Linked DNA regions of Macaca mulatta. The protein of the gene in region 2 purifies or fractionates together with the protein of the main gene of each other region. This does not show direct contact. Links are inferred from orthologs where the notes say so. Each region holds a gene or a part of one and is shown on either strand. Other genes may lie near its edges.

Evidence for each region. Proteins that work in one complex are often made in the same cells at the same time.
Region 1: the proteins of TMEM192 (region 2) and CTSD purify together in Homo sapiens (affinity purification with western blotting; 3 studies listed by BioGRID, with this or other methods). This does not show direct contact. The link is inferred for Macaca mulatta from reciprocal best matches to the Homo sapiens genes TMEM192 and CTSD.
Region 3: the proteins of TMEM192 (region 2) and LAMP2 purify together in Homo sapiens (affinity purification with western blotting; 5 studies listed by BioGRID and IntAct, with this or other methods). This does not show direct contact. The link is inferred for Macaca mulatta from reciprocal best matches to the Homo sapiens genes TMEM192 and LAMP2.
Region 4: the proteins of TMEM192 (region 2) and LAMP1 purify together in Homo sapiens (affinity purification with mass spectrometry; 3 studies listed by BioGRID and IntAct, with this or other methods). This does not show direct contact. The link is inferred for Macaca mulatta from reciprocal best matches to the Homo sapiens genes TMEM192 and LAMP1.

What each region holds. Positions count from the first base shown.
Region 1 is NC_133419.1:1,675,292-1,678,791, reverse strand, and holds part of CTSD (cathepsin D), read left to right. Parts: intron 1-1,965; coding exon 1,966-2,088; intron 2,089-3,500. UniProt on the Homo sapiens protein: Acid protease active in intracellular protein breakdown. Plays a role in APP processing following cleavage and activation by ADAM30 which leads to APP degradation.
Region 2 is NC_133410.1:173,665,560-173,669,651, forward strand, and holds the start of TMEM192 (transmembrane protein 192), read right to left. Parts: upstream 2,801-4,092; 5' UTR 2,714-2,800; coding exon 2,687-2,713; exon of another isoform or gene 2,121-2,686; coding exon of another isoform or gene 2,097-2,120; intron 1-2,096.
Region 3 is NC_133426.1:126,838,806-126,842,187, reverse strand, and holds the end of LAMP2 (lysosome-associated membrane glycoprotein 2 precursor), read left to right. Parts: intron 1-2,391; coding exon 2,392-2,531; 3' UTR 2,532-2,882; downstream 2,883-3,382. UniProt on the Homo sapiens protein: Lysosomal membrane glycoprotein which plays an important role in lysosome biogenesis, lysosomal pH regulation and autophagy.
Region 4 is NC_133422.1:107,561,874-107,565,373, forward strand, and holds part of LAMP1 (lysosome-associated membrane glycoprotein 1), read left to right. Parts: intron 1-962; coding exon 963-1,182; intron 1,183-2,020; coding exon 2,021-2,179; intron 2,180-3,500. UniProt on the Homo sapiens protein: Lysosomal membrane glycoprotein which plays an important role in lysosome biogenesis, lysosomal pH regulation, autophagy and cholesterol homeostasis.

The DNA.
Region 1 (3,500 bases), on a different chromosome or scaffold from region 2:
GTTCGGGGGTCATGGCAGTTCCTCTTGGTTCAGTTGGCCCGTTGGTCCCTGGACCTGGTGATGGGCATGTGTGGTCCTGGTCCCGGGTTGCTGATGGTGGAGAGGGGGCATGGTGCCCAGGGGCCTGGGAGTCCCTGGGGAGGTGACTTGGGTGGGTGTGGGTCCCCGGCACCACGCAGCGAGCAGCTCTGTGGGTGTCCCCAGCAGGTGCTGGCTGCCCTCTAGGAGGAGCATAGGGGGGCCCTTCCTTCTGGGAAAAAGGTTCTCCCCCAGGGTCCCCACCTGCTGCCACTGCTTCAGCATGGGTGAGCCATGGTCAGGCCACCTTTGGAAGGGGGCCTCGGCCTTAGTTAGTTTCCTCTTCTCGGGCAGACCTGAGTGGAGGGTTCCATATAAGAGGGGTGACTGGGGGTTGGGGGCTTTTGCCCTGGGGGTAGGCAGCGTGTCAGCCGGCGGCCTCCTGCCCTGAGCTGTGCCTGGTCACTGCCCCATACTCTCCAGGGCTGACAGGGGCAGGTTCACCTCATGTGGCTCACTTGGCACTTGGAGTCTCTGGGCCTGACGCCTGACCTTGGGGCACTGCTGGCAGAATTCCGGCCGTGGGGCTGGCCTGGCCTCTTTACTCTGTCCATTGCCTGGGCAGTGAATACTCCTTAGCAACACCCTGGGCTGAGCTGCTCACTGGAGGCCAGGACACAGGTGAACCAGCTGGGCCATTTCCCCAGGAGCCTTGGGGCACAGGCGAGGCAGCGAGGTGAAGAGGGGTCCCCTGAGGGCAAGAGGGCACACAGGCATGAGTGCCCACATAGGGGAGGAGGGCACACAGCCTGAGTGCCCAGGTCGGGGAGGCGGACACAGGTATGAGTATCCAGGTGCGGGGAGGGGCACACAGGCCTGAATGTCCATGTGGGGGAGGGGCACACAGGGTGAGTGCCCAGGTGAGGGGAGGGGCACACAGACTGAGTGCCAGGTGGGGGGAGGGGCACGCAGTTGTGAGTGCCCAGCTGTAGTCTCAAGGCAGCGGCTTGGGCAGGAAGTGAAGCCAGGCAGGAGGGAGGGTCTGAGGGCTTCTGAAAGCATGTTTGGTGAGGAGAGGAGGGGTGGAAGGCACTGATCGGGTTTCTACACTTGGGATTGCAGAGGTGTTGACAGGAAGCAAAGGCGGAGGAGGCTGGAGGAGGGCGGAGGCCCTGAGCAGTGCTGGGAGGACTGGGTCAGGCCTGGTGCTGCCTCGAGTGACGGGCAGCGGGATGGTGGCCAGCTTAGCTGCAGATGCCCTGGCGGGATGGCAGGACCACCCGACACAGAGAGCTTCTCTAACGGGACTGGCAGGATTTGCTGCGTTGAAATCTTGTACTTGAGTCATGTTTGGAAACGAACCCAGGCGACGCGGGCTGCAGGTCCTGGGAAGTGCAGTGTGCTGCTGCCCAGAAGCACCTTGGCCATCGCTGGTCTGGATGAGGGGAGATGAGTGGGCGTGGTTCGGGAATGCAGCTGGAGGCTGTTCCCAGGAGCAGCCAGTGCAGAGGCCCTGAGGCCGGACCCAGCCATCCCAACTTCCCAGATTGTGCCATCACCCCCTCCTAGAAGCCTTCCTTGGTTTCTCTTCTAGACAGACAGACAGGGTCCTCCCCATTGGGCTCCTGGCATTCACTTCCTTGTCTGCCCCCAGCCTTGACCCTGATGTCTGGCTGAACCTTGGCTCTTGAGCAGACCAGGAGAACCTGAGGGTTGAGGAAAACCTCTTCCGGGGCAGGCTGGGCCCACGCAGAGCAGCCCCACCCCAGGAAGAAGGGAGTCCGTCCCTCCTCCTGCCTTCTGGGCCTTTCCATCCCTGCAGGCCCAGAAAGCCCCTCCTTCAGGAAGCTCTCCCCGATTGCCACATTCACCCCCTTACTCCTGACCTGGCCCTCCTGTGCTTGGGGGGTGGAGTGGCAGCTGACTCCTCCCTTCCTTTCCTCCTAGGGACCCAACTGCGCAGCCCGGGGGTGAGCTGATGCTGGGCGGCACGGACTCCAAGTATTACAGGGGTTCTCTGTCCTACCTGAACGTCACCCGCAAGGCCTACTGGCAGGTCCGCCTGGACCAGTGAGTAGTGGCTGCAGTCCGCTCCCCTGGGTTCTGTGGGTGGGAGCGGCATGCAGGGACCCTGGAGGAACCGGGTTCTGCAGGTGGGGCTGCCTGTGGGGAGTGGTGGAGCTGGGCAAGAAAGAGATGGGGTCGGACCAGCCCTTCATGCCCCTCCATGCCCCCCATCCCCTCCATCCCCTCCATCCCCTCCATCCCTTCCATCCCCTCCATCCCCTCTATCCCCTCTATCCCTCCATCCCCCCCATCCCTCCATCCCCTCTATCCCTCCATCCCCTCTATCCCTCCATCCCCTCCATCCCCTCCATCCCCTCTATCCCCTCCATCCCCTCCATCCCCTCTATCCCCTCTATCCCCTCTATCCCTCCATCCCCCCCATCCCTCCATCCCCTCTATCCCCTCTATCCCCTCCATCCCCTCCATCCCCTCCATCCCCTCTATCCCTCCATCCCCTCCATCCCCTCTATCCCCTCCATCCCTCCATCCCCTCCATCCCCTCCATCCCCTCCATCCCCTCTATCCCTCCATCCCCCCCATCCCTCCATCCCCTCTATCCCCTCTATCCCCTCCATCCCCTCCATCCCCTCCATCCCCTCTATCCCTCCATCCCTCCATCCCCCCCATCCCTCCATCCCCTCTATCCCCTCTATCCCCTCCATCCCCTCCATCCCCTCCATCCCCTCTATCCCTCCATCCCCTCTATCCCCTCTATCCCTCCATCCCCCCCATCCCTCCATCCCCTCCATCCCCTCCATCCCCTCCATCCCCTCCATCCCCTCCATCCCCTCCATCCCCTCTATCCCTCCATCCCCTCTATCCCCTCTATCCCTCCATCCCCTCTATCCCCTCTATCCCCTCTATCCCTCCATCCCCTCCATCCCCTCCATCCCCTCTATCCCCTCTATCCCTCCATCCCCCCATCCCTCCATCCCTCCATCCCCTCCATCCCCTCCATGCCCCCCATCCCCTCCATCCCCTCTATCCCTCCATCCCCTCCATCCCCTCCATCCCCTCCATCCCCTCTATCCCTCCATCCCCCCATCCCCCCCATCCCTCCATCCCCTCCATCCCCTCTATCCCCTCTATCCCTCCATCCCCCCCATCCCTCCATCCCCTCCATCCCCTCCATCCCCTCTATCCCCTCCATCCCCTCCATCCCCTCCATCCCCTCCATCCCCTCCATCCCCTCTATCCCCTCTATCCCTCCATCCCCCCATCCCCCCCATCCCTCCATCCCCTCCATGCCTCTGTGACTCTCCATGACCCACCATCCCCTCCATCCGTCTATCTGTCCATCCCTCTATGCCCTTCATCCCCTCATTCCTCTGTGACTCTTCATGACCCTCCATCCCCTCCATCTGTCCATCCCTCCATCCCTCCATGCCCCTCCATGCCCCTCCATCCCCTCCATC
Region 2 (4,092 bases):
GGACTATACTATGGTTCTTCTCTATGTCACTTAGGAGTATTTACTTTCCAATGAATCCTATAGGAAATATGCAGCATAACCATATAAACAGCACCCAGTCATTCTATGAACTTACCATCTGCAAGTGAAGGCTGAGGGGAAGAGGACTCCTGAAGTCAAATGTTTTTTCCATTTCCATTATTAACTACATATATCCGTTGTTTTTGCCCACATGGTACCTCTTCCCTCTTCTGTGACAGTAACTCTATTTCCTTTGAGGACCCACTGTCTACTTCTGCATTAAGTCTTAGTGGAAACATCCTTCAATACCCTTCCTCCTCCTCTGGTCTAGGAGTGGTCATGGAACGAAAAACAGTTGGGTGAATCCAACTCTCTCCATGAACAGTAAAAGAAAGATCATGAGGTCAGGTGCAGTGGCTCACGCCTGTAATCTCAGCACTTTGGGAGGTCAAGGCAGGCGGATCACCTGAGGCCGGGAGTTCGAGACCAGCCTGACCAAAATGGAGAAACCCCGTCTCTACTAAAAATACAAAATTAGCCAGGTATGGTGGCGCATGTCTGTAATCCCAGTTACTTGGGAGGCTGAGGCAGGAGAATCACTTGAACCCGGGAGGCGGAAGTTGCAGTGAGCCGAGATCGCACCATTGCACTCCAACCTGGGCAACAAGGGCGAAACTCCATACAAAAAAAGAAGAAAGATCATGGTTTAGGCAGATTCATTCCAGGGTAGACCCTGAAAAGGACTCCTGTCACTTCAGTGCCTTGAGATGCCCTTGTTTGGGTCCGTTCAGAGGCCTTGGCATATACTCGCCCTATAGCCTTTCAAATAAATCTTTTTCTTAAATTAGTCAGAGTTGGTTTCACTGCCTGCAAACAATGAATCCTTACTAACACAAAGTCTTTGACTCAACTCATTTAAGTATCTGTAACTAAGGCATGGTCCAGAATTTTTAGCTTTTCCCTGAAGGCTAGAAATCATGTCTACGAAATACCAAAAGCAGGCAACTTACTCAGATCTAAAGTGACTCCAATATGTGGTTGGTGGCAAAACATTAATCTCTAATTAATTTTTATTTATTTTTATTTTTGAGACAGAGTCTCACTCTGTCGCCCAGGCTGGAGTGCAGTGATGCGATCTTGGCTCACTGCAATCTCTGATCTCTGCCTTCTGGGTTCAAGCGATTCTCCTGCCTCCCCAGTATCTGGGATTACAGGCCCCCACCACCACACCTGGCTGATTTTTGTATTTTTAGTGGAGACAGGGTTTTGCCATGTTGGTCAGACTGGTCTCAAACTCCTGACTTCGGGTAATCTGCCTGCCTCAGCCTCTCAAAGTGCTGGGATTACAGGCATGAGTCTTCCAGACCGCCCCCAGTCTCCAGTGTTTGAGGAAGCAGATTTCTAGTACTGTATGCATCCCACAACTAAAAGCTACAGATCCAAGAACCCTAGAGCAGCTTAGCATCAACCAAGAAGCACTTACTGCATGTGTTTTTCTAAGAGTCTCTCATTTTCCTCTTATGTATTCGTTTTTTTCCATACATTGTCAGCTCATGAAGCTCAGCCTTAAAAACTCAGAAACAATGAATTTTGCTTTAAATATATATGAGTCTCAAATCTACTTACAGGTCTTACAGTTAATTTTCCATTTTCTCAACTGGAAAAAATAGAAAATTTTAGTTTCATTAGAAATTGTTTGGTCTTTATTTCATCAAGATTCACTGCACAAGAATCTAAGCTACCGAAGTGCTGGAACTGTTTCGTGTTTCTCTTCCTTTTCCTGATGCAGCTCATTCAGTGATAGGATCACAGTAATATTCCTACTAATTTATTAACCCAAATTAGTGCTTTAATATAACTGTCAACTTTGCATTTCTCAAGAGGAAAAATTTTATTACTTTCCAGTGGAAACTCCAGTTAATTCTGGGCATACATACATGTTTCCCCTAAAAACACCTTATGATACTGAAGCAAATAAATAAGATTTTTGTAATTATGCTACCATTCTGTACTATACACGCTGTAAACTAGGCCACTGGTTTTTTTGGTAATCTGGTTTGAATCTATCAAAGATTTAAAAACCTCTGCATTCCTACCATGCTAAATTCAAAACAGCACATGACACTTTTTCTCTCGTATGGGTTTCCAGGCGATGATAGCCACAGGTCTGCGGGACGCTGGCGCCCGGCCCGAGCGTCGCTGTCACTCCAAGTCCACAGCCTCTAGAGCCAAGGCAAGGGACCCCACCAGGAAGGGAGATTCGCCCCCTGCGACCCTGGGGCGTCCGAGCGGAACCCAGTGGCCCAGCTCCCAGAGACTCGCGGGGAGGAAAGGCTGTCAGGCCTGGCGCGCATCACGTGAAGCTGCCAGTTCCGGGATCAAAGACGTAACCCGCACGTGGGCTGGGCGCCAGCCTGGGACCCCCAGAGCCGCGCGCCCACCGCCCAGGACCCCACCCCAGCCTCCACCAGGAAAATTAGCCCGGAGTTAGCGTGTCGCGGATCCCAAGGGCGCCGGCGCCCTCCCATAGCCCCGCGCCCAGGCCTCCCCGGCACAGGCGGCGCCCCCTCCCGCCGCGGCCGCACTCGCCAAGGGTGGCTTCCCTCTTTGAGTCTCCGCCCCGTGCGCCCCGGCACAGGAAAAAGGGGATTCCGGGGCCAGCCGCCCGCCACCTCCGTGCACTCACGTCCTCCATCCTGCCCCCCGCCGCCATTTCCCGACGCCGGAGGCCGAAGCCCCGGCCAGCCCGGCCTCTCCACCGGGACCTAGAAGCCCCTGGCCGCGAAAATTGCCACCTTCTGGGACCTGCCAGGCCCCGCCCCAGACACACCCCCTCCTGCGTCCGTCCCGCCTCCGGCTGGCCCATCCCCGCCCCCTTAGCTCCGATTGGCTGAGATGGTGGGAGGGGCGTGCCGGCCCAGAAGACCTGGACTGTGGGTGCTGGCTACCGCCTGAACCACTTCGGTCCCTGGGGCTTCTGGCCGCAGCGGCTCGGTGCGCTCTTACCCAGAGACCTGGGCATTAAAGGATGCCTTCCTAGTCCAAGAATTTAACTATTTTCGGGCTCCACTTGCATATTTTAAGAACATTAATTTTTTTCGGTCTTGCCTAGTTTTTTTGTTTGCAGACACAGCTCTACGCCTAGGTAGAACCAGCGGTAAAATCCTCCACCAGCCCAGGGACAGGAGGAGAATAAAGATTCCAATTTCCATGACATATTTATAGATTTCTCCAATGGGAAACAAAGCACTTCGGAATGTTTACGGCGTTTGTTTATTAAGACAGAGTCTCGCTCTGTCGCCCACGCTGGAGTGGCCTAGCACGACCGTGGCTCACTGCAGTCTCGAACTCTTGGCCTCCTGGCCAGTTCTCCCACCTCAGCCTCTCAAAGTACTGAGATTACAGGCGTGAGCCACTGGGCCCTTGTTTCTTTTAAAATTGAATTTCAAAAAGAGAAAACTAAAATGACATTTTCTGAAAAGTTCATGATTGTAAAAATGTAAGCAAACAAGGAAATAAATTTTCTGTTACCAGCTCCCGGAGAGAACTTTGATATCAGTTAGAATGTATGCACTCATACATTTTTTTGGTGGGGCGGGGGAGATGGAGTTTTGCTCTGGCGCCAGGCTGGAGTGCAGTGGCGCCATCTTGGCTCACTGCAACCTCCACCTGCTGGGTTCAAGTGATTCCCCTGCCTCAGCCTCCCAAGTAGCTGGGACTACAGGTGTGCACCACCACGCCCAGCTAGTTTTTTGTATTTTCAGGAGAGACGGGGTTTCACCTTGTTAGCCAGGATGGCCTCAATCTCCTGACCTCGAGATCCGCCCTCGTCGGCCTCCCAAAGTGCTGGGATTACAGGCGAGAGCCACCATGCCCGGTCCTAATTTTTGTATTTTTAGTAAAGATAGGGTTTCACTATGTTGGCCAGGCTGGTCTCAAACCCCTGACCTCAAGTGATCTGCCCACCTCGGCCTCCCAAAGTGCTGGGATTACAGGCGTGAGCCACTGCGCCTGGCCAGAGATTTTCTATTAAATAAAATAATGCATGTAATGCTCTTTCTACAGTGTTGTCTCTACAAAGCACTAAGCAAA
Region 3 (3,382 bases), on a different chromosome or scaffold from region 2:
GAGGAATATGAATTCATCAGAGGTCTCATAGCCTTGAGCAAATTGTACGCCTCTATATTTGGCTCATCATTTTGCTCAACCGAGATGTTTTTGTGAACTTAAAATCATTGGCAAAAAAGTTCTTAAAGCTAAAAACTGATAGAAGCTTTAAGTGAGCTTTATTTGAGGTATGGGTTTTAGTTTGTAGAGAAGATGGCACTTGGGAGCGGCAGCTTTGAGCATGTTGCATCTGCTTCCTGAGGCCGTCTTCTCACTGGAAACATTTTCATACCTGAATGAAAGCAGTTTGGTCTGATTTTGTTAAGACAAAAGATAAAAGAGTGGTAGCAAAACCTCAAATATCATGAACTATGTTTTTACAAGCCAAAACGATCTGGAGAGTTTTCAAAGCATGTGCCAGTGTGAATGAGGCTTTTTGAAGATCACTCAGGGCTAATGGTAGTATTTATTAGATTTTTAATGAAACCCTTGTTTGATGGGTTCATTATAATGTGTTCATACGAATATGAAAGACATATTTGGCATTATAAGATTAAAATTTGCATGAAGAAAAAAAGCACGTAAAATTCCTTAATTGACTTGTCCTTTTAAGCCCATTACCTAAAATTGGGGGTTTGTGGATCACAACTCTGTTGAGCAGAGCTATTCCAGTCATCCACATACTTTTCAACCATTAATTCTATGGTTTGGAAGGAAATGTGGAAGCTGTGTTTAGAAGCGAATATACTGTGAGCCAGTCGACTGCTTTTGCAGTGGTGTTGAATACCTAGTCTGACTTGGTTAGGCCACAATAAATTGGGCTCTCCACCCTACCATTCTTGTGGTTAAAGACGTTAGTTACACTTTAAAAATATTTTCAAGTATTCATTTTCCCTTTTGCCTGTTTTGCTTATGCACTTCAATTATTTTGATCCTTTACTAGCTTTATTTTTGGACTTTTTATTTGGCTCCCCTTCATTACTCCCCTAATTTTAAGATCAGATTTGTGTTTACAGTTTAAAATCATTTGCAGTATTAGTATCATCACTTCAAGACGGTTTATCTAGTCAACTGTAATAGAGATGAGCTATGCTCTTTCTCTCACTTTGAAACTTTGGTTTTTATGTATGTAGAATTAAAAATATCACCCAAAGAGATATACAACATTTAATACTGATATTGAATGTATAATCTATTCGTGGAACTAGGTTCTTGGCTGTGGGTACCTATAAATACAACACATAGGTAATATTTGACTGTAAGGGAAAGAAATAGAATTGCAATAAGGCAGAAGAGTGTTGATTGGATTTTACTGGATCAGACCACTTTCTAGAAATAGAAAAAAATAGCCCCTTTAGGCTGCCAACCCTGACCAGATAAGAAATGCAGTAAGCACACTCAAATTAGTAAGAGGTCCCAGTTTCTTGACTTTGCAGCCACTAAAATTGTATGTTCTAAGTCATGATCTGCAAACTTTAAAGTTCCAAACAGTAAGTGTTTTAGGCTTTGGGGCCATATGGTCTCTGTCACAACTATTCAACTCTGCTATTGTAGTACGAAAACAGCAACACATAAACAGATGATGGGCTGGGTTCCAATAAAACCTTATTTATGGACACTGGAATTTGAATTTTATATGTTCTCATGAGTCACAAAATATTTTTTTCAACCATTTAAAAATGTAAAAGCCCTTTTTAGCTCTTGGACCAGATTTGGCCCATGGGCTACAGCTTGCTGACCCCTGACTCTAAAGGGACTCCAGAGCCAGCCTGGCTATTCTCATCACATGATACCTTCCTGATCCTGTTTCTACTTTCCCAAAAGACATTCATGCTACCACTGAGCGGCTAATCTGGCTATGTAAAAGTGGGCTAGATTAGCTCCCTTAATTTGTGATAAAGTAATACTCCTATTTTGGAAAGGACTTGGAATATAAACAAACATATACGTGTGTATATATGTATATGCAAACATATATATCATATATATAATGTGTGCATTATATATCATGTATATAATTGCATTATATATCATGTATATAATGTGTGCATTATATATATCATGTATATAATGTGTTCATTATATATCATGTGTAATGTGTGCATTATATATTATCATGATATATATATTATGATATGAGCTGTGTTTATAGATGTAAATGAATATGCATGTATTCATATATATGAATATCTACATATATACACGTAAACAAATGAAAGAACAAAGTCTTAGAATTTTAATTCTAGAACAGTTCTCCATTTTCTATAGCTTTATCATAAAAATATACCTGTCTTAGTTACTTGAAGTTGATCTTGTAAGAACATTTCTGACTTTTAAATCAACATCTTTTACTTTAGGACATTCTTTTGTGATTATACTCATTATTTGTTACACACTTTTTCTCACCTACAGCCCAAGAGTGTTCGCTGGATGATGACACCATTCTAATCCCAATTATAGTTGGTGCTGGTCTTTCAGGCTTGATTATCGTTATAGTGATTGCTTACGTAATTGGCAGAAGAAAAAGTTATGCTGGATATCAGACTCTGTAACACTAATCAATACGTGATCTCTGTTACAAAAGAAAAAAGCAAGTACAAGTTCCAACATGCAATACTGGTCAATTTAAGGTATATTTAGTTGCAGTCCGGCTCTTTAGAATGGGTGGTGTGGGGGATTTCAAACTTAAACAAAAAACTATCAACTACAAATTAGTTGCCTGACTTTGGTTTCTCCAACCAAGCAATTTAAAACTTATTTTTACAGCAAAAGATGTGCAAAATCACTGAATTATAGGTTCTGTTTTACTGTCTTGAATTAGTATTTCAGTGTTTTCATTTTAGACATTTAGACTAAAAATACACAGTTTAGAAAAAACAATTTTTGAAAAAGATTTTTTTTTTCCCTGCATGTAGTTGAGTTGGAACAACATGTTCTACAGTGGATTTGTACTTGCTCCTTTTGCTCTTTTTTTTGTGATTTTTGTTTGCAGGTTAACTTAGCTACTTTGGCATTGCTGCATATTTGACCTATGAGAGATATACTGGTAGATTTGAACAGGGGCTGGTATTATGATGTTCTTAGCAATAAATGCTTTTCTAATGCTTTTTGAATATATTTGTATTTATGTGGCTGCAATGACAAAAGATACAAAAGCTTTTTAAAATTTAGAGTAGGTATTAATCTTATTGTTTAATCCTTTTTTTAAAAAACTGGATATTTCAATCTTTTAAATTGCAAGATACAAGACTATTCCAACAGGGCATTTCAATCCATTTTTTAGGTGCTTTAGAGATAATTGCTTGCCAGTGCCAATTGAGGGCATTAGTACTTTGTGCTCATAAATTGGCCTCTGTATGCAATACTAAAATTAATGCAGATTTCTCTTTAGCCTTCCAATATT
Region 4 (3,500 bases), on a different chromosome or scaffold from region 2:
TATTTAATTTCTACATCACTTTTTTAATGTTTGGTTTTGGTGGTTGGATTTTTAAAATATTTTGTTGTAAATTATGTTTCACAAATGAGGTCACCTTATGCTGTTATGCATGTCTTTATCACCTCTGTAGTTTCGTGGTGTTTTTTTGGCCCACATTAGTATACTGCTTCACTGTAGTTCATTTGACCTATCTGGTTTATTTTGATGAACATTAGGTGGTTTTCCAGTTGCTTGTTTTGCTTATAATAGTAAATTTAAACATTTCTGCTATGAACACTTCCTTTGTTTAAAGAAACATTATTTAAATGAATATTTCTATAGCAAAAAAGTAGTGATAGCTTTTCTCAAATATATATCTCACCCTGAAACCGGTTTGAATTATTTCAATTTCAAGACGCTTTAAATTCTGTTATATTAACAGAAAATTTATGGGGTTGTTTTGTTCTGTTTAGAGACAGGGTCTTGCTGTGTTGCCCAGGCTGGAGTGCAGTGGTGCAATCGTAGTTCACTGCAGCCTCAAACCTAGGCTCAAGCGATTCTCCTGCCTCAGCCTCCTGAGTAGCTGGGACTACAGGCAGATGCCACCACAATTAGTTTATTTTGTTTTTGTAGAGATGGGGTCTTGCTATGTTGCCCAGGCTGGTCTTGAACTCTTGGGCTCAAGTAGTCCCCCCACCTCAGCCTCCCAGAGTGTTGGGATTACACGCGTGAGCCACCGTGCCCAGCTGCAAATTTTTGATTATAAGAATTATTAAGTCAACTGTCTCTTATACCGGAAATACTTTTCAGTCTGTTACTGACATGTAATACTAACCTTTCTTTGGTTTATATTAAAAATGAGTATCTCAGTAGTGATAGCTGGAAATGGAGTATAAGTTTATATCAGACTTACAGAAAATCTCTCTTTGAACTTTTAATAACCTGTATCCCAATTGGGTTATATTTAATTGTGTTTATTCTAGAACATGACCTTTGACCTGCCATCAGATGCCAAAGTAGTGCTCAACAGCAGCTCCTGTGGCAAAGAGAACACTTCTGACCCCAGCCTCGTGATCGCTTTTGGAAGAGGACAGACACTAACCCTCAATTTCACAAGAAATGCAACTCGTTACAGCGTCCAGCTCATGAGTTTTGTTTATAACTTGTCAGACACACACCTTTTCCCCAATGCAAGCTCCAAAGGTAAGAACCAAAGTGGGCCGATTATAAAGTGATAGAAAATTGGGTTGGAGGATTGTCTAAAGTTACTTTTACCTGAGAATTACAGGTTGGGTGTAGTGGCTCACACCTGTAATCCTAGTATTTTGGGAGGCTGAGGCAGACAGATCACTTGAGGTCAGGAGTTTGAGACCAGCCTGGCCAACATTGCAAAACACTGTCTCTACTAAAAATACTAAAATTAGCCAGGTGCGGTGGCAGGCACCTGTAATCCTACCTACTCGGGAGGCTGAGGCAGGAGAATCGCTTGAACCCAGGAGGCAGAGGTTGCAGTGAGCCAAGATGGCGCCACTGCACTGCAGCCTGGGTGACCGAGTGAGACTCTCTCTAAAAAATTAAAAAACACGCAGCCAGGCATGGTAGCTCACGCCTGTAATCCCAGCACTTTGGGAGGCCGAGGCGGGCAGATCATGAGGTCAGGAGTTCGAGACCAGCCTGACTAACGTGGTGAAACCCCCTCTCTCCAAAAAGTTCAAAAATTAGCTGGGCGTGGTAGCGCGTGCCTGTAATCCCAGCTACTCAAGAGGCTGAAGCAAGAGAATCACCTGAACGCAGAAGGCAGAGGTTGCAGTTAGCCGAGATCACGCCACTGCACTCCAGCCTGGGCGACAGGGCAAGACTCCGTCTCAAAAAAAATAAAAAACACATAAAATAAACTAAGTACGACAAGTGATTTTTCTTTTTAAATCTAGAAATCAAGACTGTGGAATCTGTAACTGATGTCAGGGCTAAAATAAAAAACACATAAACTAAGTACTAAAAGTGGTTTGCAATTGTGATTTTTTTTTTTTTTTTAATCTAGAAATCAAGACTGTGGAATCTATAACTGACATCAGGGCAGATATAGATAAAAAATACAGATGTGTTAGTGGCACCCAGGTCCACATGAACAACGTGACCGTCACGCTCCACGATGCCACCATCCAGGCGTACCTTTCCAACAGCAGCTTCAGCAGGGAAGGTAGGACACTGACCCTTGGCCCTCTGGTGCTAGTGGGTGGGTAGTTGGGCTGCAGTGACTGTGGGTGACCTCACTCCTCTGTGTCCTGGCGCTGGGCTCTGCTTGGAAGGCGTGTGCACACGGCCAGGGACGTCTCTGCAGAACGTTCTCATCCTTCTTCCTAGGGCAGGTGACTTGTAGATGAGGGTGGACACATGTTGATTATAAAGGGTAGAAGATTGAAGTGAAATATCCCAGGACAGAGACAGATGTTGTGTGGTCTCCCTCCCAGGGGAGCTAAAGAAGTAGCACTCGGGGAGGTAGAGAGAATGGTGGTCACCAGGGGCTGGGGGGCGAAGTTGGTCAGAAGATAGAAAGTTTCAGGAAGGCAGGAGGAATTAGTTGGAGAGATCTGTTGTACAGCATGTGACTGCAGTTAATAATGTATTTTTAACTCTTCTCACCATAAAAAAGTGTTTGATTTTAGCTGTAGATGTATTTCAAAACATCCTGACACATGGTAAATACATACAATTATTACTTGAAAATGTCAGAAGGGCAAAGCAGTTGAAACCTTTGTGCTTCTGCTGGGGCAGAGATGATGGGATCAGGGTCGCAGATCTCTCGCAGTGTGAGCCAGTTCTGCTGGGGCAGAGATGGTGGGATCAGGTCACAGATCTCTCGCAGTGTGAGCCAGTTGCCTTCACACAGGGACCTAGTCTCACCTCCATCCGGCTCTTGCCAGCCAGCTTAGGGACAGGTGCAGAAAGACCAGCACTGCCTCTCTGAGGAGGTCAGGGCCGCGATGATGCACCTGCTAACCCAGCCACCGGGCTCTGGGGTCAGGCAGGGTCCAGGCCACCTTCTGGCCCTGTGATCTTGAGCAGAGTAGTTTACCTCTCATTTTCTTTGCATGTGGGATAAGATTAAAAGCCTGTCTTGGAAGATTGTTAGAATTAAAAGAGAAATGCATGCAAAGTGTGTATCTCAGCATCTGGCCCAGAGTTCAGTAGCAAACACCTGGTAAATCCTCTTACTGTTGAGGAGCTTCTCTCCTGAGCCTCACAGTCCAGGTCATAGGTTGTTGTCATTTTGCTGAAGTGTGAGAGCCTGTGATTTGCTTTAGGGTGGGCTTTCCCAGCTGATAGAAATATGTGTGGAGACATCCCTTAGGGTGGGCTTTCCTGGCTTCTAGAAATATATGGAGACATCACAGCCTTCTCTAGTCTTGAGAACTGCTGTGGAGACCTTTGGTTTGCAACATTCCTCAGCAGTCTTGCTTAAAGGCTGAGGAGTGACTGCTGGGCTCCAGGAGGCTCGTCCGTCTCCCGCTCCCCGAGGA